3 linked regions of the Coturnix japonica genome follow. The protein of the gene in region 1 purifies or fractionates together with the protein of each later gene. This does not show direct contact. Links are inferred from orthologs where the notes say so. Each region holds a gene or a part of one and is shown in the gene's direction. Other genes may lie near its edges. The genes, in order: SMARCD2, SS18 and ACTL6A.

Region 1 (9,797 bases):
GGTACATACATACACACAGAGGTACATACATGAGGTGTACACATGAAGATCCATATACACCCACACACACATGTATGAACATACATGCAATCATATGCACATATAATCACATGCACTAACAGCTACACACGTGTACACACATGCTAACACATGTACCCATGCACATCCATGCACACATGCAGATGTGTTTACACCACCCACACACATACACACATACATGCACACACATGTACACACGTACGTACATGTACTCAGGAAAACACATATGAACACACATGTACACTATTATGAACACGTGCACACATGTACACATACACACACATGCATGCAGAGTGGGCACGCATATGCACACACGTGTGCACACATATGCACATATCAGATGCATACACGGCCCTAAACATGCAAACACACACATGCTGGCAGAGATATGTGCACACAATCACACACATGTGCACACATACAGCCAATGGGGGCGGGGCCTCACAAGTGGGCGGGGCTTTGTTTAAGGGGCGTGGCCACACAGAGGGGGCGTGGCTTAGTGAAGGGGCGTGGCTTAGTGAAGTGGTGTGGCTTATTGGAGGGGGCGTGGCTTAGTGGCGGCTTTTGAGGGGGTGTGGCTTGGCAGAGGGGGCGTGGCTTTGCTCTGGGGGCGTGGCTTAGCGGAGGGGCGTGGATTATTGGAAGGGGCGTGGCTTATTGAAGGGGGCGTGGCTTATGGAAGGGGCGTGGCTTATTGGAGTTAGCTTGGCTTAGTGGATGGGCGTGGTTTATTGGGGGGCGTGGCTTTGCTCTGGGGGCGTGGCTTAGTGGAAGGGGCGTGGTTTTATCGGAGGGGGCGTGGCTTAGTGAACGGGGTGTGGCTTATCGGAGGCGTGGCTTTTGCTTTGGGGCGTGGCTTATTGGGTGGGGCGTGGCTTAGTGAAGGGTGTGGCTTTAGTGGAGGGCGTGGCTTATAGGATAGGGCGTGAACGGGTGTGGCTTATCGGGGCGTGGGTTATCGGGGGGCGTGGCTTTTTTCTCTGAGGGCGTGGTTTAGCGGAGGGGCGTGGCTTAATGTGGGAGTGGGCGTGGCTTAATGTGGGAGTGGGCGTGGCTTATCGTGGGAGTGGGCGTGGCTTATCGGGGGTGGGGGGCGTGGCTTCTCACGCCGCGCGCTCCCTCCGCTCCGGGCGCCGCCGCTTCCGAGTAAACAGCGCCGGGCCGCCCCCCCAGCTTTAGGCCCGGCCCGGTTCGGTTCTGCCCGGTCCAGCACCGCCATGGCCGCCCGTGGAGCTTTCCCTCTCAGCCCTCTGCCTCCCTCCGGCTCCGCCGCTCCTCCTCCTCCAGGGCCCGGACCCGGTATGATGAGAGGCCCCAACCCGACTCCGGCCTCCGGGGCCGCTCCGGGATATCGTCCGATGGGGCCTTCGGGAGCGCAGTACCAGGTGAGGGCGGGCGGGGGGCGGCTCTGTGCTCTGTATTGGGGATGGGAGGTGGGAGGTGGGATTGGGGGGTTACTTAGAGGCCTCCAAAGGGGCCGTGGGGGTTCAGAGGCCTTTTGGGCCCGGAGGAAGCGGCGCTGCTTCCTGAACGTGGGGCCCTGGCGGTGGGGGGGGAGCGGGGCTCCATAGGGGCGGCTGTCCTGGCCCCCCACCCCCATTAAAAAGTTAACGGAGAAGTGTTCTGCCCTATGGAGGTGGTCCCGTACCCCCCCAGGCTGTGCTGTGGGGGTCCTGGCCCAGGAGGGTCCATCACAGCCATCCTTGTGCATTTCCAGCTCCGGAGATGGAGCTGTGATGGTGAACGTTAAAGGGAAGGAATGGGGATAAAGGGGAGTAAATGTGACCCGCTGCAGTGCTGGAAGCTGTGGACTCTGCTCTCTTTCTGCTGCCTTTTCTGCTGTTGGTTCAGCCCCCACGTGTTGTGGGGTTGTTTATGGAGAAGCCTCGTTCTGCGATGAGTTCTGAGTTCCAAACCGAAGAAATCCAGTCATCCACATGGGGGGAATTTCCAACTGCTGTATCAAAGGAGGAGAAACAACCCGTGAAGCTGAAAAACCCCGAAGTGAAAACTGAGATGAGCTCAGCCAGGCCAATAGGGCCCTGCATTGGCTGTAATGTGACTCAGAGCTATAGGGAGGCTTCATCCCGACCTTCCCAGGTTGCAGAACCCAGCGGGCATCGCTCTGTTGTGGGTAAACAGGGGCACATATGTTTGCTTTCACCCCCCCCCCTTATCCCATGCTGGCCATAATACTGCACTCATGGCAGGTGTTGGGAGCGTATGGATGGGGTAGGGTGAGACTGGGAGCATATGGCAGTGCTGCAGTGTTTGGGTAATGCAAGTCGTTGTTGTCGTGTCTGGCCGGCAGTTTGCTGGCACAGGGAGGGGATTGGGGGCTGATCGATCCGGTCTGTCTTTTGTTTTGCAATTTGCAGGCCTGTTTAAAGCAGCTCCTCCCCACCAAGTGGTCAAAACTGCGGTGCCCGCAGGACTTCTCAGGGGGTAACCAGTGAGTCAGGCTCCTTCTGCTGCATTATGCTGGCTAGGAGAACACAGCAGCCCTCATGTATGGCAGCGGGTGCTTAGGGGCTCTTTAATCAGTGGATTATTAAATGTATGTTAATCCTTTGACATCCCTTGCCTGCCTGGCTATGCACCAGCAGCTCAAGAAGGGAAATGGGGAGGACAACTCACTCTAGCACTGATGTTTCCAGAGCAGAAAGGAGTGGGAGTGTGTTCATGCAATGGGCGATCAGCTGCACGGTGGTGTGTCCACCCCCATCCCAAGGCTCAGGTTAGCATAAATCCATCAGGAGTTCCCTCTGTTTGTTGTAATGGAGGTTTCAGGCTTGGGAGATCCTTCCCGAGTTATCAGGTTGATGCTGTGGTAGGGAATGGGCTCAGCTCTGTGATGCAGTGGAGGAGGGGCTGTGCAGAATGGCCTTGAGGTTGCCCTGTGCTGTCGCTTTGCTGGCGTAGATCAGTGGCAAAAAAAAGAAGAAGTGGAGTTAATGAAGTGCCCCGTTAAAAGCATTTCATTGGCACTTGCTGACAAGCAGGAATCCCATTTCCGTGGGACGGAAGGGCTGTTGCAAGCCAAACAACTGCTAACAAAGTGATATTGGAGGAAGCGTGGCTGTGCATGGAAGGAGTTGGAGCTTTCTGCTTCCAAACAGACCTGCTGGATCCCATTAGGAGAGGAGAGCTGGGTGCTTGTCCCATGGTTGGCCTGGGGACGGCAGCAAGGCTGGAAGTGCAGCACACAGCAGGGATCTGCAGCTTGCATTGCTGCATGACCCACCCTTCCCAGTGGGGGACTGTTTCCAAGGCAGGTTTCATCAGAGGCTGAGCATCCAGCAGAATGAAGCCGTGACACAAAGCAGAGCAATGCTGTGCTCTCAGTGCTGGATAGAAGCAGGCAGCAGCAGAGCTCAGGGCACCCTTTGTTTCTCCTTAAGGCTCATGGAGGTTCTGCTCGGTGGGAGCATCTCCAAAGCTTCCTGCTGGAGGCCTTTGCTCTGTCTTCCTCCATAGGGACCCTCAGAGCCTTTCCCTGCACATCTGAGCAGTGTTTTCCACTCTTCCCATTGCTTCCCCCTTTGTATTACTTGAGGCTGCCACGTTTTCAAGCAGGAACCCAACACCTTTCTTCCTTGTTCCTGCTTGTGTTTAAGGCATAAATCCCCTGAGTTCTTTCTCTGCCTGCTGCAGCCTCTGTTCCTTAGGTTGCTCTTTGTTTTACACCTCCTTCCCCCTCTTACCCTGTGCTCTCCATGGCCATCAGCACGAGGTGAAAGTCCCAGGCTGTAACTCGTGCATCCCTTCTGTTCTCTTGCCAAGTCCCTGCGGTGTGGAAGCTGCTGAGAAAACTTCACTTAATGTGGCCTTTCCCCTTCAGTGTCAGCATGGCTGCTGGGTCCTGGTGTGAGCGCTGCAGCCTGCACTGCTTGCAGCCCATGACCTGGATCATCTGCAGCTGCAAAGCCACACGTGGGCAAGTTTGCCTGAGCCCAGATATCTCAGCTGGTGCTTGACGTGTTGCCAGCACGTGTCCTCAGTCTGCTCGGCTTCGCTGCCTGTTGCTTTGCTGTCCGCTCTTTAATTTAATGCTTCCTCACCAAGTTTTGTAGCTGAGGCTCCTGCTGCTGGAGCACTGGATTGCAGCTGATCTGAGCATCGCAGCAGCCTGCCTGCATCCAAGAGCTTGCAGCGAAGGACGGACGCCTCACCAGCAGCAACAGCTTCCTGCTCATGTTCACTTTGTCTCCTCCCCTTGCAGGATGGGGTTTGCAATGCAAGTGTTTTGGGGTGTGCTGCAGGGGTTTCAGTTCATCCCAAGCAGTGCTTTTGTTGGGGCTGAGCAGCCCAGTGCAGAGCTGGGTTCCTGTTGTTGGGGCAGGGTTTGCTTTAGCCCACACCACAGCAGGAAGTGATGTGGGATGCACAGGGGGGGCTGGCAGGAAGAGCTGCCCCCCGGCACCTTTTGGGTGAGGACACACACATGGGTTTTCATTCCCCAATTATTTAGTGGGTGCCAAGAGCAAACTGAGTGGAAATGGGGCATTGCATCAGGACAGCTCGATGCAGTTTGGGGGGTTTTATGAGCCTTCCTCAAGGCTCTGCTTGGGGAGCCAGCAGGGAGCTGCTGGTGCTCAATGCATTGCAGCCTTCTTGCATGCTGGGGAGCTCACACCCTGCTCGTGGTCCTGGCATTGCCACAGTGGGAGGGGTGAGCTCAGTGCAGGAGGTTTGTGCAGCACCCCCTCACTGCTGGGTTCTGGAGAGAGGCTGATTTCTGACTTACTGCTTTTCTTCCAGCGTAATCTTCACCCTTCTTGCAGATCTATCCTTCAATGTTATGGCTGCTCACCACCCCACCCTCCTTTATTTCCCCCTTTCTGCTACCAGCATCTGCTTTCTGGCCTGTCCTTCCTCAAGAAGAGGCCTTTGGCACGCTGCAATGCTCCTGTCATGCTGCAGACTGTCCATCAAGAAGCATTCCAGCCCCTGCTTGCTCCAATTGAAGCTGACTCTAAACAGAGCTCCCCAAATGCAAGAGGCCTGTGCACTGACCTGGGATGAACCTCTGCTCCGCGGCCAGCCCGATTCGTTCTTCCAGCTTTGGCAGGGAACAGAAACAAGCTGTTTTTTGTCCCATTTCCAAATGGCTCTACTCATTCTCTGTGGGGAGGGCTGGATGCCATCCAGCTCTTTCCTGCTTGCGAGATTTTGCCCTTTGTCCGCCCTGTTGGTGGTGGGAGGAGGAAGAGGAGGAGGTTGTGGGGCAGAGAGGGGAGGATGAAGAAGCATCTGATAGGGGTAGGACCACAGTGCTGCCCCAAATGAAGGGGAGAGGATATCTGTTAGCCAGGAAGGATATAAGGAAGGTCACCATTTGAGCTGCTCTAATAAAATTTCCTGAATTTAAGCCCTCTTTGCATCCTGCTCAATTTGCAGGGCTTCTCAAGGGTGCTGGAGGCTTCACCCTGCTGGGGCTGTAATGCTGCTTAATGGCTTAGCTGGGGATTTATGGCTGTGCTGTGTTTGCGTGTCCAGAGCCGAGGGGGCTGTTTGCCCTTAGCAGGACTGCATGGCCACAGCAAAGGCTGCCTTGCTTTGCTCAGACACTTTTCCATTGCAAATCTTGAGGGCAAACTGAGAAATAGATGCACATGGAGGATTCCCCCTTCCCTTTTTTCCTATTGGAGGGGAAAAAAGGCGAAATGACTCCGTTCTGAGGGTTTCCATATGTCTTTGCTGCTAATCACAAGTGTCACAGCCTCTTTTCTTGCCCGTTTGTTCTCCATTAGCCCTTGCAGGCAAATCAACACGGTTCCTGCAGCGCCCATCCTGCTGTAGCCATGCACAGCCCCAGGCAGTGCCTTGCAGCGAGCAGAACCCTGCAGACAAAGCCTGTGCAGCCCTGTTTGCAGCGAGGCATTGCCAAAAACGGGGCTGATCAAAGGGAGCAAAACATCTGGGGGCTGTTAGGAAAAGCTTGTGTGCCTCGTAGCTCAGGCAGGTTGGCGAGCAGCTTCAAAGGGAAGCCAAGCAAAGGTGAAAGCAGCAGATGGTTGTGCAATGGGTTTCGTGCGTGTACTTGATGAATTCCTCCTGCAGTCCCCATCCTGCCACCTCCTGGGCTGCTGCTCTTTGGCTTTCCAGCTGTGGAATGCTCCTCCATGCTGAAGCTGGTGTATTTTGGGGGTTTCCTGCTGGGTTTGGCACTTGGGAGGGATGCCCGTGGCTATGGACTGTGGAGCAAGAGCTGTTCATATATTGTCCAGCAGCCTCAGCAATTCTGTTGTTTGCATTTATAGGCTTTTGGGCTATTCCAATGAAGGAGGTGAGTGGGTTTTGGCTCCAAGCACCCACAGTGTGGCTCTGAGCCTGCCTTTAAAAGCTGCTGAGGCCAGGCTGGCTGCTGCTGGTGATCTTATGTGGGATTTGCACTGGAATTAATGCCTACATGCAGATAAGCTCGTCAGCCTGCAGCATTGCCTGCGGCTGAGCTCTCCTTGCTGGACTCCTGGCCCCTTTGGGATAACGAGTTGGCTTTGCTAGCTCCTGTGCACCGAAGCTCTGTGTCTGTCTGCAGGATGTGGGTCAGAAGGCAGCAGGGGAGCTGCAGGAATTGTCTTGGCATGTCAGGGAACCTGCAGAGGGGAAGAAATGCTGTTCTGCTGGCTCGGTGGCTTTCCCAGCTTCACCAGTTCCTTGCCAGGGGGGAGCTGGAGGATCAGAGAATAACAGAGAGCAGGCAGAGCGTGCTGGAGCAAGTAGGGCTGAGCAGCAGTGGGGTGCTGGGAGCTTTTGTTGAGCACACAAGGGCTGTGCATGGGGCAGACCCAGAGTCAGCTGCTGATGCTGGAGATAGAGACCACAAGAACTGCTCCAGGCTGGAATTCATGCAACAGAAGTTAAACATCCCACGGGGGGGGGGGGTTGTAAACGCCCTGTGTAGGTGCCTGGAAGTGAAAGGATTCAGCACTACATCCATCAGGAATGAAGGCCACCCTCCTGATGTCCTTGCCCTGGTTAAGGGGCCCATGTTTAACACCCCCCTCTCTTGTCTCTCTCTCCCCTGCCAGCGCCCCGGGATGCCACCAGGCAGCCGTATGCCCATGGCAGGGCTGCAAGTGGGACCTCCAGGAGCACCCCCATATGGAGCAGCATCCCCACTGCGACCCGGCCTGCCACAGTCCATGATGGATCCCTTCAGGAAGCGTCTGCTGGCTCCCCAGTCCCAGCCACCCATGGCCACCCAGAGGAGAGGGTAAGGGCTGACACAGGAGCACCCTCAGCCAGTCTGGAGCGGAGGGGTTCACTCTCTACATCTGGTTGCTGTTTTCTGGTTGCATTTCTCCACTAAAACCTACAACATGGCCCAGTTGTTGGCACCGCAGCTGGTGGGAAAGCAGCCAGGGCTCAGTGCTGGGGTGGTGGGTCAGGCTGGGGTGCATCACTTGGCATGCAGCTTCCCCATGCTCTGATCTCCCCAATGCTAACCAAACAGCTGAATGCTTTAGCTTAAGCAGCAGCTTGTCAGAACCATTCCCTGTTCTCAGGGGCTTTGTGCTGTCCTGGGCAGGCACAGAGATAGATGGACACTCAATTCCCAGCCCTGGAAGGAGACAGGCAGAACTGCAGAGAGCTTCTGGCAGGTTGCAGGGATCCTCCCCAGATCTGTGGCTGTTTACTTGGGATGGTCTCTGTGAGCCATGAGGTTTTGCCAGCAGCTCCTCGCTTGTTTATGATGCTGCTAATCCCTCTGCTCTGTTCCTGTTTCTGTGAGGGCTTCTAGATTACTGGAGGTTATTCCTCAGGGTCCCTCAGTCCTAATGGATGTTCTGGTCCTGTTCCCTGCCCTTGCTGCACAGTGAGGCTGATGGCTTTATGATCCCTTTGCAGGGAGTGACCAGTGTCTCTATGCCAGGGCTGTGCATCCATTCTGTGCTCCAGAGCAAGCTGGGGATTAAGGACACAAGGCTGATGGGTCCTCGCCCACTGAACAGGGACGTCAGCAGCTGGATAAAGCTGTGGCTGCGTGGGATCAGCTGTGCTGGGGAGCTCAGGGCTGTGCACAGAGCTCTGCTGAGCTTCCCTGCTCCTGACTGGCTGTGGAAGGAAGGGGATTATAAGGGTGGCAGCACCAGCCCTTAGTGGCCAAATCCTGGGATGCCTCAGGATGGCAGCAGTAGTGCCACATTTTAGTGCCACATTTGCTGCCCTGTTGCTTTAGGTACTGTCAAGGGAAAGGAACTGTCCTGTGCATGCTGGGCTATAACGTAACTGTGAAAAATGGGGCCAAGTAAGAGAGCATTTTCCCATGTGTTTCTCTCTGTTCCTGGGGTACAGTGTCTTATCCACTTGCTTCCAAGGTTTCTGCTATTAGTTGCTTTTACAGCCTTTCTTCATTCCCTTCCTGCAGTTCTGAAATGCCTGTCCTGTAGCTGATGGGGGCATTTCCCCTTGGATCACGTTGTTTGCTGCAGTAGGATCTTGGAACCTGGCTTGAACTGATCCATCCCCATGGCATCACAGCACTCCCCAAAGCCTGGCCCCATGCATGGCCTGGGTGGGGCCAAAAGAGCCCCCACGCTGTGTCCCCCAAGACAGGCAGCCAATGAGATCTGCAGTGTCCTGAGGTTGCTGCAGGATGATTTCTTTTACTTCATTCTAATTGCAGGGTGAAGAGGAGGAAGATGGCTGACAAAGTCCTGCCACAGAGGGTGAGTGTCACTTTGGTGCATGGAAGGAGTTGACGATGAAACCCCCATGGTAGGACGATCTCATTGAACCTCGTGCTGCATGATGAATTGGATGAAATGCCTGGAACGTTTCAGTCTTGTAGGTTAGAGAGAGGGATGTGCACAGTTAAAACAAGCAGGGCTTTGGGTGAGCAGGGAGCAGCCCTGGCTTGCGATGCAGACCTCTGGTCATTCCCAAGCTTTTCTCTTGGGGTTCCTCTTGACAATGCAGGGTTATAATCCCTGCCTGTGATGTGGAGCAGGTACAGTGACAAGCTCCAATCAGTGCAGCTCTGTGGGCTGGTAAAGATGCTGGGCTTGAAATGGGATGCAGCACCACCTTCAGCACATGAGGGACTGACTTTTATCATTTGATAGATCCGGGAGCTTGTCCCAGAATCTCAGGCCTACATGGACCTCCTGGCCTTTGAGCGCAAGCTGGACCAAACCATCGCTCGGAAGAGGATGGAGATTCAAGAGGCCATCAAGAAACCACTGACGGTGCGTGGCTGGCCAGGAGGGCAAGCAGCTGAGGGAGGGTAGAGGTAGGAAATGGGAGCTTGCAGCCATCCTCTCGCTCCAAGCATCCCCACTCTTTGTTTTCCTATTCCACAGCAAAAGCGGAAGCTGAGGATTTACATCTCCAACACTTTCACCCCGGCCAAAGAAGAAGGGGAGGGTGGTGAGCGTGTGGCCTCTTGGGAGCTACGCGTGGAGGGCAAACTGCTGGAGGACGTAAGGATCTGGGCAGGGATCAACGTGGCAGTGGGAGGAGGGCTGAGAGCTCTGGTGCTCTGTGCTGAGAGCCTGGCTGGGATAGATGCAGCCTTTTTCTCCCTGGCTGCTGGAGGCAGGCGGTGTTTTGGGCTGGGGCCCTCCATGGTGTTGGCAGCATCAAGGCCAAGCCTCGCACGCAATGTTTTGCAGCCAAGCAAACAGAAGAGGAAGTTCTCCTCCTTTTTCAAGAGCCTCGTCATCGAGCTGGACAAAGAGCTGTACGGGCCAGACAACCATTTGGTGGAGGTGAGATGTCCTTGGCTGCACTGCGGGGCTGCACCCCAGGAG
Region 2 (9,797 bases), on another chromosome or scaffold:
AAGCGTGCCTGTGGTGTGTATGTACTAACACTGAGTATTCCGTGTTGGTGGGGGTGAGGGAGTTCAGTGCTGTGCTTTGGAGCTTAACCGTAGGCCCTCGCTCTTTTCCATGAGAGGCCCTCTCAATTCTTGCTCTGGGATCTCTCCCACTCAATGATGGCAGGCTCCTTGTGTGGGAGCTCGTCGGATACAATCAGCTTGTGGCTTAAGAAAGAACGTGGGTGTCAGCAGGGAGGGTTTTGCAGTTCAGGGCGTTACAGAAGGTATGGGACTTCAGTGGAACCTTGCACAGTACCACAACAGTCTGTGCTTCACAAATGAAGGTGGGAAATGCATATCCACCAGGTAGAAAGCTGCCTTCAGGTCACTTACTTAAGTGTGAGAATGTAGATAATTAGGTTTTTCTTGTGCTGTAGTCAAGCTAGTAATTTGATGTTAGTGTACTGGCAGAACTCTGCTATAGCTAAAGCTGGAGAATCTTTGTAACTGGCACATGTAAGTTGTCAGGAGTCTTGAAGGTGCCTTCATCCAGCCAGTAACTAGGCTGTCTTGTGATGGCAGGTGTCTGTAACTTCTTCAAAGAACTGGTTTTCCATCAGCAGTAGCTTGATAAAAAACATATAAAACAGTGCTTTCAGTCCTGTCAGGCATACAACTGTATTCCTTCTTGTTTGTTTTTCTCTGCTTTTCTCCTAGCTTTATTTCTTTATTTTCCCTAAAGATGTCCAGCCTGTATGGCCACAGTGGAGAGAACAACCATCTCGCTGGCAGTTCTGATTTCTATCTGTATTGTAGAATGGCTTAGATCGGAAGGGACTTCAAAGCCCACCCAGTCCCACCATGTACTGTGGGCACCCAGTAGCTCAGCTGCCCAGGCCCCCATCCAGACTGGCCTTGAGCACCTTCAGTTATGGGGCCCCACAGCTTCTCTCTCTGGGCAGCTTGTTCAGCACATCACCACTCCAGGTGCTAACATGCTTTAAGTAAATGCTGCCTTTCTCTAGATGCTTGGAGACTTTTTGAGGAGGTCCTTCATTCAAGGCTTCCCTTACAAGTACTCTGTGTACTGTATAAATTATACTAATTGCTTTTTCTCCGTTCTCTTTTTCTGTTGAATTTGGCCACTGGGTTTCCTTAACACTTGATGTTAGCACATATGAAGTGTGCCAGTGTAGGAGTGTGTCCGGGATCCTCTTAGGAGTTTGCAGATGTAGTTCTGCATAGTGTCAGGAGTTCAGAAACTTGGAATATTGTGGTTCTGTCTGTGGTTCCTGCTTACGGGTGATGTTTCCAGGTCTAGCAATTTCAGGAAAGATCTGTTTCTCACTGATTGTTCTCCTGTATTTTGGTGAATTGCTAGTTTGAGTTTAGGGAAGACTCAACTCTTTGCTTTATTCTTATCTGGATGTAAATCCTGAGTGGACTGCATAAGGTTCTAAGGCTTATGACCTTTGTAGTAGAGGTGGATTAGTCAAAAGGATTAACAAAGAAGTTGTCTTTTTTTTCTGGTAGAATTTGCTAAAGTTGGATCCCCAGGGAAATGGAAGTGATGTAATTATAGTGCTTGTGCTTCCCTTGTAGAATCATAAACTTGGCTAATCTCAGCCACATTCTGATTTGTGATGTTTTGATTCGGTGTTCAGAAGATGGGAAGAGCCTCAAAGATGATTAAGTTCGTATTAGTTTTGTGAAATTCAGTAGCTGAGTGTCACGTCCATATTGTAAGGGGAGAGAAGAAGTGACCAGATTTGCAGATCTAGGATGTGACACTTGATAGGCTGCAAGGATCTGAACTAGTTTTCCACTGGGGAAACCAAGAAATTGATGTAAGATTTTCCACTTAGCTGAGCAGGCTTGGATAACTTGGTTGGTAGCTCAGATTTGCCTTGGTTTTACTGAACTTCTGCCTGATCAGAGTGCAGATGAGTGGTTAAGACAGAGATATGAGCATGAGGATGTGCAAGTTTGGGAAACTTTCTTCACTAGGAGAGTGGTTAGGCCCTGGAACAGGCTGCCCAGGGAGGTTGTGGATGCCCCGTCCTTGGAGGTGTTCAAGACCAGGTTGGACGGGGCCCTGGGCAACCTGATCTAGTAAATGTGTATGTTTGGTGGCCCTGCCAGGCAGGGGGGTTGGAACTACATGATCCTTGAGGTCCCTTCCAACCCGGGTCATTCTGTGATTCTGTGAAACTAGGCTGTTTATTTTTTCCTGCTTGTTAGCATAGAACATCTTTATTTCATGTACTTCCTGCAGAAGGCTGTGAGACCTGCAGTTTCCCATGGTTTTAGAACTTTATTTTCCCCAGAAAAGTAATTAGTATGTGTTCATATTCCCAAACGCTTCTGAAATATTGTCTATTGTGCTGGTTAAACCACGCTTTAAGAGCGTGTAATTATACAGAACATTTGTAATGTAAATCTGGCTTTACTTTTCAAGGCATTTCCTTGAAACAATCTTGTATGTTAAGCTCAGTTTCTATCAGTTAACCATTACAGTGCCTTTTATTATTGGATTGTGGGCTTCAGAGGGAGAAGGAAGATTTATGCCCCAAGTCTTCAAGTTTGTTCTTTGGTTGAGATTACATAAAAACTCAGAAAACTTCCCATGAACTTCTTGTAGTTAGAATGTAAGTACTTAAATAGGGAACATCATAAATGTATTTATAATAATGACTTAAAACCCTCGTACTGGAACCTATAAAACTAAGGAGGAAGAGCGAAAGATGTAAGTAACTGGTTAAAGAAGGGCTTTCTGGAATACTAATTTTGTTTAAATTTTGTTAATTTTCTTTATTTTAAAAAAGAAATCAAACTTTTAAGAGTACAACTTACCTTCAGTTATTTTTTCCCGTAAAGAATGTTACACTTACCTCAGATTTCTTTATTCTTTCAGATGCTGGATGAAAATAACCATCTTATTCAGTGTATAATGGACTACCAAAACAAAGGGAAGACATCTGAATGCTCTCAGTAAGACATTAATCCAAATCTACTGTGGACTGGGTGGATTTCCATCTAGATCAGTTGTTGATTTATTTAGCTCACTTTGAAGGAGGACCACGCTGAGAACAGTAGAAAAATATTGCTGCAAATAATGCAGTTAATTTTTTTCTTTGCTGTGTAAATATCACTTCCATCACTGAAACATTGCAACTTGAGTAGTACAAGTTGATAGCATAATGACAGAAAAATGGGGACTGTGTAACTGAGAGATCTACCTCTGTGTTGTAATTACAGTTTGCAAAGGAGGTAGTTTCCTTCTTAGACCTTTCGAAACGATGTAATATTTCTGCTGTTTATCACTTGCCTGAGAACAAACAGACTCCACCTTAAGTTTGGCTTGCCAGAATATACCATGTAAACTTGTTGTCTAATGGAGTTTCTGGAGGGTGAGACAGCTGTGGACCTGGACAGATATTCCTCCATGTGATGACAGATGGGTTATCACAATGTGGCTGTTGAGGCCCTTTCTAAGAGGCTGGTAATGTGGGAGGAAAGCTGGAATGATGAATGGTAGGTATTTTTGTTTCAGGGGATTACTTCTATTGATATGAGTAGAGTTACTATATTAAGCTGTATGCAAGCCTGTAGTTACTCTGCTCCTGCTTACAGGCTTGTTCTTTTGACTCTGGGCTGGATGTGGATACTCTGGAATTTAGTTCTGCAGCAGAAAAAAAGTTGAACAGTGAATATCCAGGTCTCGGTCCTGATGGAATGTTTACGCTGTCCTTGGTCATGATTCATTTCGATATGATACCTCACATCTAGGGACATTAGGGAAAGAGAGCTCTTTTTATAGTGTTTCTGTTGGAAATGACATCATACAGACACGTACTCTAAATGCCTGCTTGTGACTTTGTTTAGGGTAGGAAGTGAAACAGTTGAGGTCACCATGTTTTAGGTTTAATTTGCAATACAGAAACTGTAGAGGGCAAGCAAGCCAGATCTGGCAGAAAAATTGGGAAAGGTTGGCCAGTAGGGAGATGTGAGGAAAGCACGTAGAATTCTTAAGAACAGTACTCTTGTAAGTTGTTGGAAGTTGTTTCTTGACACACTGTGACTTAAGGCCTCTTTTTCCTTTGTTCATTTTGGTAGATACCAGCAGATGCTACACACAAACTTGGTTTATCTAGCTACTATAGCTGACTCCAACCAGAACATGCAGTCTCTGCTACCAGCAGTAAGTACAAACTAGCATAACACTGAGGAAATAGGTGTAATAATTTGGATTCACGGGGAGGGGGAGATGATTGAAAAACTGTCCAAACGGTCTGCAATTTACTATGCAGTGAATACAAGATGGAATGTCTCTTCATGTCATATAAGTCTCATTAGCTCACTGCTTATGTTATGCTCACAATCCGAGTTATTTAATTGAAGGCTTATATTCTGGGATTAAGCATGTTGTGCATGCAGGATGTCTGGCTTGGCTTGCAGATGACTTAGATTTTTCTCAACTAAGAAGTCTCCTGGTGTGGCTCTTGGTCAGCTCTTACAACAGTAGTCTCTTTTTCCCCTTACATCAGGGAAAAGTGAGGTGTTTAGTTTTGTTTTACTTCTTGTTTTTTGCTGGAATATCATCCATTCTTCAGCTTTCATGGAATGGGGTTGGGTAAATATCAGCTTTGAGGTACTTTAGGTGGGTCTCTTAAATTCTTTTCTTCTCTCCTTTATCGTAAAGCAACCTCTATGCATTGTGGATAGTGCTAATGAACAAGAAATAAGGTTGCGTGGGTTTATCTTGAAACACTGCATATCTTTGGCATTGAAGCATTTGTTGGGATAATACTTGCTTCTTTTTAAAAAATAATCTGTATTTTCTCTGTATCACCGAACTTTTTATTTCAAAAGACACCACCAATTTTTCCACTATTTTTTCTGTTTGTGGAGTGGCAAGGAAAGATACAATGAGCATTAAAGTAACTTGCTATCTGACTGTGGTTATGTGTTAATCAGAAAGCTCTGGGAGTTCACTGCGAGTAACACAAGGAAGTTATTTTGTTTTTTAGTCATAAGACTTTTCTTGAATTAATATAGTCTTGATTCATTTCTGTAATATGAAGCTAAAAAGAATGTCTATAAAACAGCCATTCCTAGATACTAGTTCTTACCAACTGAAATTGAATTACTTTTTCTTTGGTCTCTGGAGAAGTGTTCTCCAATCATTGCTACTAGCGAAGCATCTTTTCAAGTTGGTACCTAGAGGACTATAGAAACGGTGCTTCATTATGTCCAACCTGTTGTGCCTGTGGAGGCTTCTCTTTATAAATCCAAGCTTGTAGCTGTGGGGGGAAGGGAAGGAAACCTTTAAGAGGGCTGTGTATGTTACTCAGCTAATATGTTCTTGGAGGCTTAATTCATATCCTGGTTCTGATGACAAGTGGAAATGAATTTGACCTTATTCTAGTCCCTGGTGCACAGCCCTGTTCTTAGAGTTGAATGTGGTGACATTCCCTTCTTAAGAAAAAAGTGAGGGTAAGGCCATGAAAGGTTTTTGCAGACCAGGACTGAAGTGCGTTTCTGCTCCTCAGTGTAAGGAATATTTTTCAGCAATGACAAAATAGTATAGCATTTTTTCTGCTTTGAATAACTGGACAGGGAATACAAAGTAATACACAATTAAACTTAGATGTTCAGTCTTAGTAAAGCATAGATGCTTTCACCTACTAAGTAAAATTGTTGAAGAATTGCTTGAAATGAAGTAACTTAATCAGATAAGAACAACTTTTTTGTTGAAGGTTTTGGAAAAAATTGTTCTTTAATCTATCTTCCCAATGAGGTTTAGCCAGGAGGATTTGGGAACGTGTGAGTTACTGCTTTTTTACTGTAAGATAAACTTCTTCAAGCTTGCTTCATTTAGTTTTTCACTTAAGACCTAAGGAAGCTGATGAAGTGTTACGTTTCAGTTCACCACACTTCTGTGGCAGCATTCGAACAGTCTTAGTAAAATTCAAGTTTTGTGGCTGACACCAATGAAATATGAAGCAAGATAATGTGTGTGAACACCTCCTTTTCTCTTTTAAGTAGTAGAATATAAAAATGTCACAGTATTGCTGTTGCAGTAGCTTCTCGTATAATTTAAGAGGGCTTAAGAGTTGTAGTAGACGAAGTAAACATTGGAGGCTGTGAGTGAAGAGAGCTGGAAAGATGTTCTGATATTGTAATAAAGTTCTTGTTTCAGTTGTATATTGTAATATTCAACATTTATGATGCGTGTCTCCAGTTACAAGAGAGCTGCCTGCACATTGGAATACAAAGGAAGCATGAGGTTAATCTTGAGTTGACCAGCCACGGCAGTGTCAATAGCAGCATTGCTCAGGGTAGCGTCTTCTGAACAGGATGGGAGTGGTGGCTAAGTCTGCAGTTGATGCAACTTTTTGTTGCATCTTACTAAGTTTACAGGTGCTTTCCTTCGACAGCAGTGGAAAATCTGTTTGTCATCACCATATTGGGTAAGCTTCCCAACAAGAGCTTGTCTTGTGTTCTTTGCTATACAGATGTATTTGGTTTCTTTTGGTCTATTTTCAAGGGAAGTAACACCAAAATATTGGTGTCCTTGAACAGTAGATGCAATTAAAGGTCATTACTGGGACTTCCAGCCCTCCCCCTGATATAGTAGGTGCAAGGAAATTTGAAGCTATGTGATGTCTAGAACTACATCTTGCTCTCTTCAGCCTTTGTTTTAGTTCTTAGGATTTCTTGAGATAATGGCATTAAAAGGTTATTACCAACTGCTGAATCATAGAATTACCCAGGTTGGAAAAAGACCTTGAAGATCATCAAGTCCAACCGCAGCTTAACCAGAACCCTAACTCTAAAAACCCTACACTAAATCATATCCCTGAGCACCACATCCAAACGGCTCTTAAACACAACCAGGGATGGCGATTCAACCATCTCCTCGGGGAGCCTACTCCAGTACCTAACTACCCTTTCTGTAAAGAATGAAATTAGACTTATTTGTTCAGGCCTTTTTCCTCTCCTGTCCCACTGCTTCTTACTGGAAATTCATGAGAGAGCCACTCATGATAACTTTTCTGAAAGAAACAAGAGGAGAAGGTCAGTCCTACACGTGTACACATTAGTGGTTTTTATAACTGCAGATAGAGAGGTCTACAATAATTATTAGATAGGGGACTTTCTGTCTTTTTAAACTCAGAAGTTTCTCATTGTTTCTCTTACACAGCGCACAGAGCTCTTGATGTCTGTGTGCACTTCAGGATTGTGATGAAAATGAAGGCTAATAATTTGTACTTTGTTACTAAAGTGAGTTAACTCTGCTAGCAAACTAAATTCTAAATGTGAAGGAAACACAGTGCTCGAGTTACAGGAAAATGTATGCGTCTTGTTACATTTTTTTTCTTGATATCATAATATTGAAAAGTTCATTAATAAAATTAATAAAGTCATTTTTTTTTCTTGCTTGAGAAATTTATCTCATAAATAAAGCTGCCTCTAGGATTTGTGTGATTCTTCCATCCGTCTTTCACAATGTAGTTCCCCTCTTGCCGCAGTCCAAATCATTGTTTTTACTAAATAGTTCTAAGATAAATTGGTGATCTAACAACTTTAGTAACTTAAAGTAACATTTGCAAGTACAACTCAAGTTCCCAAGGGTGAAAGGAATACTAAACGCATGTGACTTGTGACAAGTTATACACTAAATGTTTGAGGCAGTCTCTATTGTATGATAGTGGAAAATCTGTTAGTGCTATTTTCTTTCCTCACGTTCACAACTGGCATCAGTCTTTGAAATTTGGGCCTAATTCTTCACATAGAGAATGACAGGGTTAAATTATTTTCCAAACAGAAGCTGAAAGCAGTAACGGTATGTTATTCTGGATGAGCATTTCAGAAGTCCACAAATAACTCAAACACAAATAATAATTATGCCCCGTCCTTGGAGGTGTTCAAGACCAGGTTGGATGGGGCCCTGGGTAACCTGATCTAGTAAAGGTGTATGTTTGGTGGCCCTGCCAGGCAGGGGGGCTGGAACTACATGATCCTTGAGGTCCCTTCCAACCCGGGTCATTCTGTGATTCTGTAACTCAGGTTCAACTGTAAATTGAAGTAATAGGCATCAGGGTGTAAAAGAAAGATTCAGTGTTTCCTCTCATGAAGCAAGTGAGCTATTAGTTGTAGGTAAAGCATGAATTTTGGATAAAAATCACTCCTATTAAATGTTTAAAAAAGTAGTTTTCAGAAATACAGTAACTTCTAGAATAGATTTTTGAAAGACAAATCCTAGATAGGGGGTGATGAGCAGAATAGTAACCAAGCTAAAATCTCTGAAAAAAGGAATGGTGTGGCATTCATCATTTTTATATTGTGCAGGTACACTCCAAGGGGGATTTCTGTCAGTGTTTGTGCTCTTTAAAACAAGAAATTTAGATGCTTCTGTTTGGTGTGAAGTTTCACATTAGAGTAACTTAAACAGAAGGACCATTTCCCAGCTGTTCTTTGAACGAGAGGCAACCAGAGCAGCTCTGGCGTAGATAAATTAAGGTTTGTGTTCTGTACAGTTACTAGAAGATTTCAAGACAGTGGAAATCTTGAATTGGAATCTTGAATCTTGAAGGAACGTTGTTCTTTCATCTAAGTCTTTTTGTAACTCTCAGACAAATATTTACTCTGTTTTGTGAGCCAAAAGTGAGAGCGATATGACCCCTTTGATGATGTCTGTAGCTTCTAGTTAGGCTGTCTTTGTAGCTAAGGAACGAGAAATTGAGAGCGTTTAGATTTATTTTGAAGTACCACGATTCTAGTAGTCCTGCATCGTCCCTGTATTTGAATGATTTTGGAGATTAAACACTTTCAGTGGAAGGGTGAAGGAGATTTTTCCAGAAGTGATACAGTATTGTGGGTCTATTAGAGATGAGACGTAATTCTTTTTTGCTGTCAATAGCCTAGTTCTTAAGCATGACTGTAACAACCAGCTGTAAACACAGTGTGCTGTGATCTAGCTGTATGAGCCCTTACAAGAGAGATCTGCATCCATTAATTGACTTGGTTCTGTGGCCAGCACATGAGTATCTGTTTCCATTTTCTTTGTGTGAGGTTTTGGATGTTTTTACCCCTGCACGAGCACTGATTGCCTACGTGTTCATCATATGTAAAAACATGCTTGCGGGATATTAGGCGAAAAAATACGTTTTAAAAATAATCAGATTTTATTCTATTTGTTTCACTCTAGTGCGTGGAAGAATACAATTAAGAAACTTCTCTTCATGAGGAGGAAGTCTTGTAATGTGATCAGTATTACAAGCTTGTTAGAAAACATAAGGGCCAAAGGGACAAATCCTTATAACATAGGTTTGGTGAGCTGTTCCTCACCTGGTTTGTTTTTTGACTCTCTGTAACAACACCAAATCTGGAAGTTGCTCTGTATCTTTTGGGGCCAGTAAGGTCATCACAGAATCACAGAATTGTAGGGGTTGGAAGGCACCTCTAGAGAGCATCGAGTCCATCCCCCCTGCCAAAGCAGGCTCCCTACACCACGTCACACAGGTAGGCGTCCAGGCGGGTCTTGAATATCTCCAGAGAAGGAGACTCCACCACCTCCCTGGGCAGCCTGTTCCAGTGCTCCGTCACCCTCACCATAAAGAAGTTCTTCCGCACATTCATGTGGAACTTCCTATGCTGTAGTTTCATCCCATTCCCCCTAGTCCTGTCCCCACGCACTAATGAAAAGAGACCAGCCTCACCACTATGGCTCCCACACCTCAGGTATTTATAAACCTGGATCAAGTCCCCTCTCAGCCTTCTTTTCTCAAGGCTAAACAGACCCAGTTCCCTAA
Region 3 (9,897 bases), on another chromosome or scaffold:
CAGTATTTGACCACACCGTGATGTTTAAGTCAGAGAAGTTCAGGTGTGGCTAATTCTTTCTCAGATGAAAAAATGTCAAATAAGGTAATATGAAGTAATCTGCTTTGAGATATTCTAACATCTACACCAGTTCTCTTTGCACTATTAAATAAAAACAAAGGGATTTTGGATAACAAATTGGAGAAAAGCATCTTCCACACCAGTATGTGTACAGTCCCAACTACACTGTAGGATCAGACACACTTTTACTCACCCCTCTTTAGATTCCAAAACCTCTGATTTCTAAATGTACGTAAGACAATTTTCAAAGAGCACACCAGAAAGCGTCAGCACTCAGATCAACTTGCAACCTGAAGGAAAGGGTATTCTCCTCTAAGATGAAATACAAAGAGCTGAAGCTGTGAGCAAACTGATGTAGCTGCTCTAAGCACTCAGCTACTATGCACAGGTTGGATGGGAATGGCTTTACTATGACAACTGAATTTTCTGATGACCTGAAGAAAGCACATTAGATATATTTAAACTTGGCACCAACTCAAGTCTGAAATGAAACAAACTTAAGCAGCAAGTAGTTGCAGCTGGGATATTTCTGTGTCTAATTAGTTAGAACTTTCTGGAGTGAAATTTAGACGGATGCATGTCTAGGGGTCCTTGAAGAAGAGCGCAGAATGGCTTTAAAATGATTTTTACATGATTCCAGGGCATGAGCTAAGATCTAAGGAGACTCATATCCTCAGCTGTACTACTAGCTTGTTGGATGAGCTGTTACAGAGTATTTTCCCCACGGTGAGTGAACACGTTAACTTCTTTAAAAAGTACTTTCAGTGCTATCAGTGAAACGCTTCACATAAGGAAGGGTTTCATTTTTACTATTTTCAAAAATCTACTGGTACCATGATGATTTTCAAAAAACGGCCAAGTGAGCCATTGCAATTGTATCATAAAGTTAACTTTATCACAAAACAAATAATCAACAGGAAGGATATTCCAAAGATGATAATGCTCTTTTACATCTACCTTATTTACCTGCTGAAAACAATGAAATTTTAATTACTAAAAATACTGACATCATGTTAGTAAATGTCCTACTGTGTTAAAATTTATAGAAATATCTTTATTTGAGCAAAGTGAAGCCCCGGTACAACACTGCCTTTGCTATTACTGTTTGCCTGACAAGGACAGAAAGCACCACTGCATGTTTAGAAACCACAGAAGGCAAAGTTCAACACTGCATAGATGGCCACTGCGTGCTCTGTGATTGCCATAAACCTCTTCTTCATCCAAATCCAAGCTTCTAATTCTTTTCTACAATTGCATTTTGCTGTTGAGCCTAAATTTCTAGGCATATTTCACCTACCTTCCATTTATTATCACAGACTGCACAAAAATCTTCTCCTTGGTATTACTAAACTTACCTTTTTTAGAATAAATGTAGCATGTCCTGGGCATATTTCACATAAAAAGTTACAAACTAAAAGCCAATAAAATACTTTTAAGTATTAAATAAAGCGTTGCAAATCTTCGTTAATCATTCCCAACCACATCAACTTGATTTGACTCAGCACATGAGACTGACTCACATGAATGCACTGGGCAGCACAACAGGGCAAATCCAGATGGTGAAAGGGAAGGAGATGACTCTGGTGCAGAGCTGCAGACAGAGCACATGGCTTCCCAATGAGTCTTAGGAGGAGACTATCACAGACTCTTGCAAACATTTCAAGACATTGTGCGTCAGCCATGTTGTTATGAAATTGACGGACACAGTCTGTCCTTTAGCACAGATGCATTCAAAACTAGTGATTCCTTATTCTTGCTCCACCTTTATTCCAATTCCACCATGGCAGTCTAACACTTTGCAACTCAGATCACAGCTTCATGAGAGACAAGTTCACACAGCCAAATAGTCCAATGGGTGACTTCCACCCTAACTGGAGAAACCTGAGTAATGGATAACAAGTTTTTCCAACAAGGTTGGACAGGGGCAAGTCCAATCATTTTGACACAGGACAGGGAAAAGTCATTTAGGCCACCAACTGTGGTTGCACCTGCAGTCACTGGAGGCTTCCTTTGAGAGCAAGTAGTTCAGACAAGCCATCAACTACCAAGTCGGTCCAGCCACACTTAGGATATATGACACAACCTCAAGACTTGAATAGCTAAATGTGTCTTCAGCACCTAGGACTGCACATCTACTATTGAGTGTGAAAGCACTAGGCACACACTGTGTGGCATATTTAAGGTATATGCAAAAATGCAATTGAAAACAGCTTCCAAGCGATACAATTTAAAAGGCCTCACCTGCTCCAGCTGTGCATTTCATGTTTTTTTATTCTTGTCTGCACCTCAAAAAGCAAAATCTGATCAGATGCTAACTAGGATAGAGATATTCACGCAGTCAGTTCTAGCTGGGTTATGTATTGTCACATACTATAAAATAATGCACACTACAATCTTATCACCTGCAGAAGCAGACAAATGGCAGCACAAATCCAGTTTTTTAAATGCACTAGTTTAAAAGCATCTGAGACTTGCCCACATTAGTTCTACTCAACATCCCATCTTGCTAGATTGTTTTCTTTCTTGAGCATTCTTGATTGTAAAAAAAACAACAAAGAAGTTTTGACTTTTGGATTCCTTACCTCTGGCTGCACAAAGCCATTATTCTAAGCTGTGTGGTATCACAGTTTAAATCTACTACTGAGGCAACACAGCACCCTCCTGGGACTCTGGGAACAGTAATTTGAGCCTTCTGAGGTTAAAGACAGATTACCTGCCCAAGAAATGGGAGACCTGTGCTCCTTGCTCCCCATTCTATTGTGGCCAAATCTTTATTCTGGCAGTGAGAAGAAGCATAAGGAATCAAAACACTCCAGCATAATGGTAAGGTTCAGCTGATACAAAGATCTTCTGTTTACCAGACCGAGCCAACTACCCAACTGAAAGTAGCTTTGTTTGTGCAGATGAGACGTACTAAGCCAGCACAGGTTTGGTCCTGCTGCCAAGCTAATAAACCCTGCAAGAATCCAAAGTAACTTCAGACCAAGCTCTAAGCCTGAAACAGTAAGTGCTGCCAGCTCTGAGCCCAATGAGATATCCGTACACAAGGGACTCATCTCAGAAAAGCCATACAGGCTCACTTAAGTTGGTTCTGGCCAGAGCTGGCTTAGCCCAGTAAACTTATCTCAGTACAAGTTCCAGGCAAACTCTGCTTCACACCTAAGCTGGTTCAGCAAATAAACACTACATTGAGAACAAGGAAAATGGCCCAAAGTCTTCTAGTTCGGATTCACAGAAACCACTTCAGGTTCAGTAACATGTAGTAGCATATAGTATAGCATATAGTATAGGTTATTTTTTATTATATAGTATAGATTATAGTTAGTATAGGTTATTTTTCTTTTCTTTTTTCCCCTCCACTCTCCAGTGCATCCTAGCACTGCTATGGCAGATAAAATACATTCAATGCTTCTATTTACTTTGACTTTATAACTCTTGTTTCTGTGGAAAACATGCAAAAAATAAAGAAATAAAACAAAGGTATTCAGTTACATTATGCACAGTGGTGGCAGAACTCTAGATAGGATAGCCTACAAAAATTCGATGAAATAATCTTAGATTTACATCTCTTTAAGCTGAAAAAAAAGATTCCTGGACTCCATTTCTCCTCTGCATTGAATTTTGAGAGGCCAACCACACTGTTGTAAAGTAAATGCAAAGTCACTGTATAATACTATTAACACAGTGGCGATGCTGCATGATGTAACTACCAACACAACTGCAAAACAGTGGGAAAAAAAAACAAGGCTAAGACAGCTAACAGCCTGAACTTCCCTCCCCAGATCCTCCAGGCTTCTTTGCACAGATTTAGTCTCTTATCTTTGCACTCACCAAATCCTGAGGCTTCCAGACAACAGCAGGACTTGCAGCATACATTCAGTTCTCACTATCGGCACCAGGCAATTGCTGAGCAGGAAAGATTGGTCGTGCACAGGAACGCCCTCTCCCCATGCTGCACAGCCACACGCCTCTTCTGCTGGCACCACTGGGAGATCTCAAGTGCTGCAAAAGTTACAGATAAATGAAGCAGCAGACGGCTGTCTTGGTGTCTCACAGAATGACCTGGGTTGGAAGGGACCTCAAGGATCATGAAGTTCCAACCCCCCTGGGCCCCCTGTCTCACCCACAAAGCTATCATAAGCCACTCTTGGGGAGAGCAGGGTCTGCCCCAAAGCATCAGTTACCACAGGGATGTTATGAACCACTATGAAAACAAAGCCCAAGTACAGGCACAAGCTGAAGAAACGTCCCCCAGTGTTTTAACACCCATTTTGCTTTACAGCCTTCCCCAACTGCAATTAATTCATCCTTCTCCACCAACTCTACCTTGGGTATTAGTGCCACGTGCTAGAAATCACTATAACACATTAAAGGGCACCATAAAATAAATCAAAGCACACCAACATTACACAGTACAACTAGTGGCAAAGAAAGATTTGTGCTGATCTTCCTCATGCAAACACCTATAAAACTCTTTGAAAAGGCTGACAATAGCAGGACATGGGGAAATGGTTTGAAGTTAAAAGAGGGAAGATTTAGGTTGGATGTTAGGGGGAAGTTCTTCACTAGGAGAGTGGTCAGGCCCTGGAACAGGCTGCCCAGGGAGGTTGTGGATGCCCCGTCCTTGGAGGTGTTCAAGGCCAGGTTGGACGGGGCCCTGGGCAACCTGATCTAGTAAAGGTGTATGTTTGGTGGCCCTGCCATGCAGGGGGGTTGGAACTACATGATCCTTGTGGTCCCTTCCAACCCGGGTCATTCTGTGATCCTGTGGCACACCCACCTCAAGAGCTCCTCCCTCAGCTCCTCCCTCAGCTCCTCCTCCAACTCCTCCCTCAGCTCCTCCCGCCCCTCTCTCCTCACACCGCCCTTCCCGCGCACTGCACCTACACTTGCTTGCTCTCACTCTCCTCTACCAAGCTCCTCACTTCCCGCCTCATGATTGGCTACTCATAAGCAAGCCCCTCCTCCCTCCCTTCTCTGATTGGCCGCTGTGCCCACTCAGCCGTTCTGTTGGGTAACGCTCTGCAGTGCGGGCGGGTGGGCGGACGGCGGCGGCGCTGCCATTGGCGGGAAGGCGCGGGCCTGCGAGCTGCGCTGAGCCGGGCGGCGGGGCGAGAGACCGAGTGCTATTGTTAGCACAGCGCTGAGCAGCGGGCAGCCATGAGCGGCGGTGTGTACGGCGGAGGTGAGTCTGATATAACGACACTGTTGAGCTCCCTCAGGCCCGGCTCCCTCCCGCCGCATCGCTCCGTGTGTGAGGAGAGGAGGCCGCCGCGGGCCCAGGGTCCGTCCGACCCGTCTGGGTCACCTGCAGGGATGGGGCACACACAGCAGTGCCAGGGTCTCACTGCCCTCTCTGAAAAATTGCCCCCTAACATGCGACCTAAATCTCTTCCTTTAGTGTGGAACCATTCCCCATCGTCCTGTCACTATCAAACCATGTAGAAAGTCAGTTTCCCTCTTGTTTATAAGCTCCCTGTAAGGCTGCAACAAACTGTCACTGGCACCTTCTCCAAGCTAAGCAAAGCCAGCTCCCTTTCTCCATAGCAGAGGAGCTTCAGCCCTTTGATTGTCTTGACCCTCCTCTGGACTCACTCCAACATCTCATTCTTATGCTGGGGGCCACAGGCCTGAATGTGGTACAACAGATGGGACTTGGCGAGGGCAGGGCACAAGGGGATGGTCACCTTCCTTGCTCTGCTGGCCACCCCTCCCCTGATGCAGCTCAGGATGCTGTTGGCTTTCTAGGCTGAAAGCACACACTGCTGGCTCATGTCCAGCTGTCTGAGTCTCAAGTCCTGTGCAACACCTTGTACGTGGCCTTGTTGAATGTCATGAAGTTCATGTGGACTCGCTTCGCAAGCCTGTGTTTAGATGCAGCTCTCGTCTGTTAAAATTGCCCTTTTTCTTTTGCCAATGAAAGGTATTGCAGTGTCCTGGTTACAGCCTATCTGTAACCTCCTGGTGGCTCTCAGTTAGCTTGAATTCTGAATAGAGAAATTGCTCTGTGTCTCAGGAAAGATGCTTTATCATATTGGGCTTTTTTTTGTTTGTTTGTTTGTTTTCTGGCAAGCAAAGCAGACAAGAGATAAGTTCAGGTCAGGATTGCAGTAGAGCACAATAACCATTCACTACTTCTTTGTTAACAATCTTTGCAGATGAAGTTGGGGCTCTTGTTTTTGACATTGGCTCGTATACAGTGAGAGCAGGCTATGCAGGCGAAGACTGTCCAAAGGTAAGAATCTTTATGAACTCAGTGGGATTACAATTGGAGCTTGAACTTGTTTATTAGTCATAAGCTTCCAGAATATACTGTTTATTATTATTTAAGGAAAACTCTGAATTTTATTAGCCCCCTAAAAAACAAACCAATGAAAAACAAAACCAAAAACCAACAAAACAACCCACATCCAAAATGAATAACCTTCATCAATATTTTACCTTTTGCTTTACAGGTTGATTTTCCAACAGCTATAGGCGTGGTGCTAGAAAGAGACAATGGCAGCACTCTGATGGAGATAGATGGTGACAAAGGCAAACAAGGGGGCCCAACGTACTACATAGACACCAATGCCCTGAGAGTCCCAAGGGAAAATATGGAGGCCATTTCACCTTTAAAAAATGGAATGAGTATGGTGCTCTGTCTTTTTTAGCTGTCTTTAAGATACAATTGTTAGGCTGCAACAAGTCATAGCTTTCATGTAAACAGATGCTATCCATGTCAACTGTTTTTTCCTTTGGACTTAGAAAGCAGGCTCGTAAAGAAACGGTTCTGCTTTCACTTAAGATATTTTAATACGATAATGAGCATTTTTATGTCTTAATGGGAGACTTGTAGATTCTTGTTTATTTGATGGCTTTAATTTAGCTGTCTCCTTTGATAAAACAATTAAGAAACAAGTTTTTGGAAATAGTTCCTAATATTGTTCCTGTAACGTGTATGGACAGAGGCTATCAGCCATAAGAATGGCTCAATTTACAAAATGTCAGTGGACTTTTATTGTAACTTATTTATTTATTATTATTTATAATAACAATTCTTATTTGCTGTCATGATGCTTAAAAAAATATAGATGAGAATTTGGCAAAGCAGGAGGGGTATAGGGCTGCTGAGGACGGCTTTTGTCTGAAGAGCTCTTAGGAAAAAAAAAAACATCAGGAAAACTTTATGTGGATTTATGAAGTAGATCAAAAGTTAGAAGTAACTAATCTGCTTGCTTCGATGTCGTTGCAGTTGAAGACTGGGATAGTTTCCAGGCAATTTTGGATCACACTTACAAGATGCATATTAAATCTGAAGCGAGTTTGCATCCTGTCCTTATGTCTGAAGCACCAGTGAGTAAAAGGAGCTTTGCATTGTGAGGAGACTTATCAGTATCTTCTTGCTGAATCTATAGACATTAGTCTTGGAGAAACCCAGCACTGGCTTGTAGGTTATGAGTGTTAAAACTGAACTACAGAAGTAACATTTAAAAATATCATGCAGGTTCTGGAAAGTATTCTCAATAGGAAAAATGTCAAAAAAAAGCCCAAATTTGAAAGAATTTCTATGCGTTTCATTAGAACACACTTACTATGTGTTACTGTATTTCATGTATTTAAAAAAAAAAAAAAAAAAGTAGTATAAAATCAAAAATAACCTCACTTGACAGCACAGAATAAAAGCAAAAAGTTGTCTGAATGTCTTCATATATTACACTTAATCCATCTTTGCATGCAATCAGCCTGCCATCTAACGTGACAGGGAATAACACGTGTAGTGGAGTTTTAATTTCGTTTCAGCAAATGCTCCTGTAACATAAATGAGGTGCATGAACACAGATTTCTGGAGAAAAACGTGAACAAAGTTTCTGTCATTTAGTTGTGGAAGTGCTGAGTCACAGCTTGAAGCAGTGATTGAGCACCTCAATCACTGGGCAGGGCCAACTCAGGGATGCATTCAATGTACCAACCCCTTCCTAGACCTAATTTAAGGGTTGGCAGTGAGAGTCTTTTGTTGGGGATCCCTTTTACCTGAAGCTTCTAAGGATAAGTAGTTTTTTTTCCTTCATGTCTGTGTCTATGGCTGCTCTATTTGGGCTGGTTCTCATTTGCTGTAGCTGAAGGCTTTGCCACTCTGTTGTTATTGCTGTCTATCACATTAGAGTGTTATGCTTGAGGGGCATAAAATCTGAAGGCATTAAAGTAGACCTGTAATCCAAGAGTTTTGCCTACTTTCTGTAAATTTACTGTCTGTGCACTTATATTGAAGATATGTATTAATGTTTTGAAGTAGTATTAGAACAATACAGTTTCTAAGGAAATAAATTATTAGGAATCTGTTTCTCTATAGAATTTTGATTTAATTTGAAATTACAACTTAAATAATTCCAATTACTTCCTTGCTTTGTTTGCTTTCTTTTATTATGCTCAAACAATCCTCAAGATAGGTGTATCTTCTTATTTACTTGCTTGTATTTTCTTTTTCTAGTGGAATACCAGAGCAAAGCGTGAGAAGCTGACGGAATTGATGTTCGAACACTACAACATCCCTGCTTTTTTCTTGTGTAAAACTGCTGTTCTAACAGCGTATCCTTTGCAATATTGTGCTGGGTTTTTGTGGTTTTTATAGGACCGAAATGCTGTCATCCAAACTACTGAATACTGTAACTAGACATTGATGTTCCTATAGCCTTAAGATGAATATTTGTAGCCTTATTCAAGTGCTAACATGTTTTCACCTTTAGAATCTAAATGAGTTGGATGCGTATTTAGGTTACTGATGGAATTGTCTTGGATTTATTGACTTGGACTGTCATCTTTCTCCAAAGCTAAGAGTTCTGTTGATGGGGTTGCACACTTTGTAGGAAGGTGATGTGTCTGGGCAAACAGCAAACCTGATTGTAGAGCCAAGGAATTAAGCACTGGCATTCTTGTTCCTAATTGTGCTTAAATTGTATGGTACTTTTTTAAGGGGAAAATTACACTATTTTCTTTAATAGTTTTGACTAGTTTTGCTAATGGGAGATCTACAGGTCTCATCTTGGATAGCGGAGCAACACATACCACAGCTATCCCAGTGCATGATGGATATGTACTTCAGCAAGGTAAAGTTTGCATGGGTAATAGCACAGCAGTATCAAAGTCAAGTTAACTTGCTTTCTGCTTTTATAGTTTAACTACTGCTTTTAAATATATCTATTCTTTTAAATATGAAAAACAAAACAAAACCAAACACCCAACCATGTCTCTGATAAGTAAGTGTTGGGAGAGTTCATTCTGATTTCAGTGCTTTACAAGTTAGGTGAGGTGGGTTGTTGTTGCTTTTGTCTTTTAGGTATTGTAAAATCACCACTAGCAGGAGACTTCATTACTATGCAGTGCAGAGAACTGTTTCAGGAAATGAATATAGAGATAATTCCTCCATATATGATTGCTTCAAAGGTGGGAAAGTAACTTCACTTAGTGTTTGTTTGAGGGGAAGGAGCTTAAATGGTGAACTGACAGTTATGTCCTCTGCAACCTCAGGAGGCAGTTCGTGAGGGGTCACCAGCGAATTGGAAGAGAAAAGAGAAGTTACCCCAGGTCACTAGGTCTTGGCACAACTACATGTGTAATGTAAGTGTGTCACTTCTCCAACTCAGCCTCCCTGGGCATCTTGTAACAAAGTCTTGTTTGCAAGCATGCGATGTTTTCCTCTTCAAGAACTAGAAAATATTTAAAACAAAACAAAACAATTCAGTTCTGTAAGTTCTATTGAATTACTGACTGACGTTCTTGTAACCATATAATTCTTATCTCCACAGTGTGTCATTCAGGACTTCCAAGCTTCTGTCCTCCAAGTATCAGATTCAACCT

What was found.
Region 2: the proteins of SMARCD2 (region 1) and SS18 purify together in Homo sapiens (affinity purification with mass spectrometry; 4 studies listed by BioGRID and IntAct, counting the BioPlex papers as one, with this or other methods). This does not show direct contact. The link is inferred for Coturnix japonica from reciprocal best matches to the Homo sapiens genes SMARCD2 and SS18.
Region 3: the proteins of SMARCD2 (region 1) and ACTL6A fractionate together in Homo sapiens (co-fractionation; 5 studies listed by BioGRID and IntAct, with this or other methods). This does not show direct contact. The link is inferred for Coturnix japonica from reciprocal best matches to the Homo sapiens genes SMARCD2 and ACTL6A.

The regions. Positions count from the first base shown.
Region 1 is NC_029542.1:1,254,870-1,264,666, reverse strand, and holds the start of SMARCD2 (SWI/SNF-related matrix-associated actin-dependent regulator of chromatin subfamily D member 2), read left to right. Parts: upstream 1-1,117; 5' UTR 1,118-1,256; coding exon 1,257-1,424; intron 1,425-7,073; coding exon 7,074-7,258; intron 7,259-8,671; coding exon 8,672-8,714; intron 8,715-9,110; coding exon 9,111-9,233; intron 9,234-9,347; coding exon 9,348-9,467; intron 9,468-9,659; coding exon 9,660-9,755; intron 9,756-9,797. UniProt on the Homo sapiens protein: Involved in transcriptional activation and repression of select genes by chromatin remodeling (alteration of DNA-nucleosome topology).
Region 2 is NC_029517.1:93,979,472-93,989,268, reverse strand, and holds part of SS18 (protein SSXT), read left to right. Parts: intron 1-2,893; coding exon 2,894-2,970; intron 2,971-4,095; coding exon 4,096-4,180; intron 4,181-9,797. UniProt on the Homo sapiens protein: Appears to function synergistically with RBM14 as a transcriptional coactivator. Isoform 1 and isoform 2 function in nuclear receptor coactivation. Isoform 1 and isoform 2 function in general transcriptional coactivation.
Region 3 is NC_029524.1:15,352,686-15,362,582, reverse strand, and holds the start of ACTL6A (actin-like protein 6A), read left to right. Parts: upstream 1-5,082; 5' UTR 5,083-5,220; coding exon 5,221-5,245; intron 5,246-6,218; coding exon 6,219-6,295; intron 6,296-6,515; coding exon 6,516-6,690; intron 6,691-7,294; coding exon 7,295-7,395; intron 7,396-8,530; coding exon 8,531-8,628; intron 8,629-9,051; coding exon 9,052-9,146; intron 9,147-9,376; coding exon 9,377-9,483; intron 9,484-9,567; coding exon 9,568-9,657; intron 9,658-9,845; coding exon 9,846-9,897.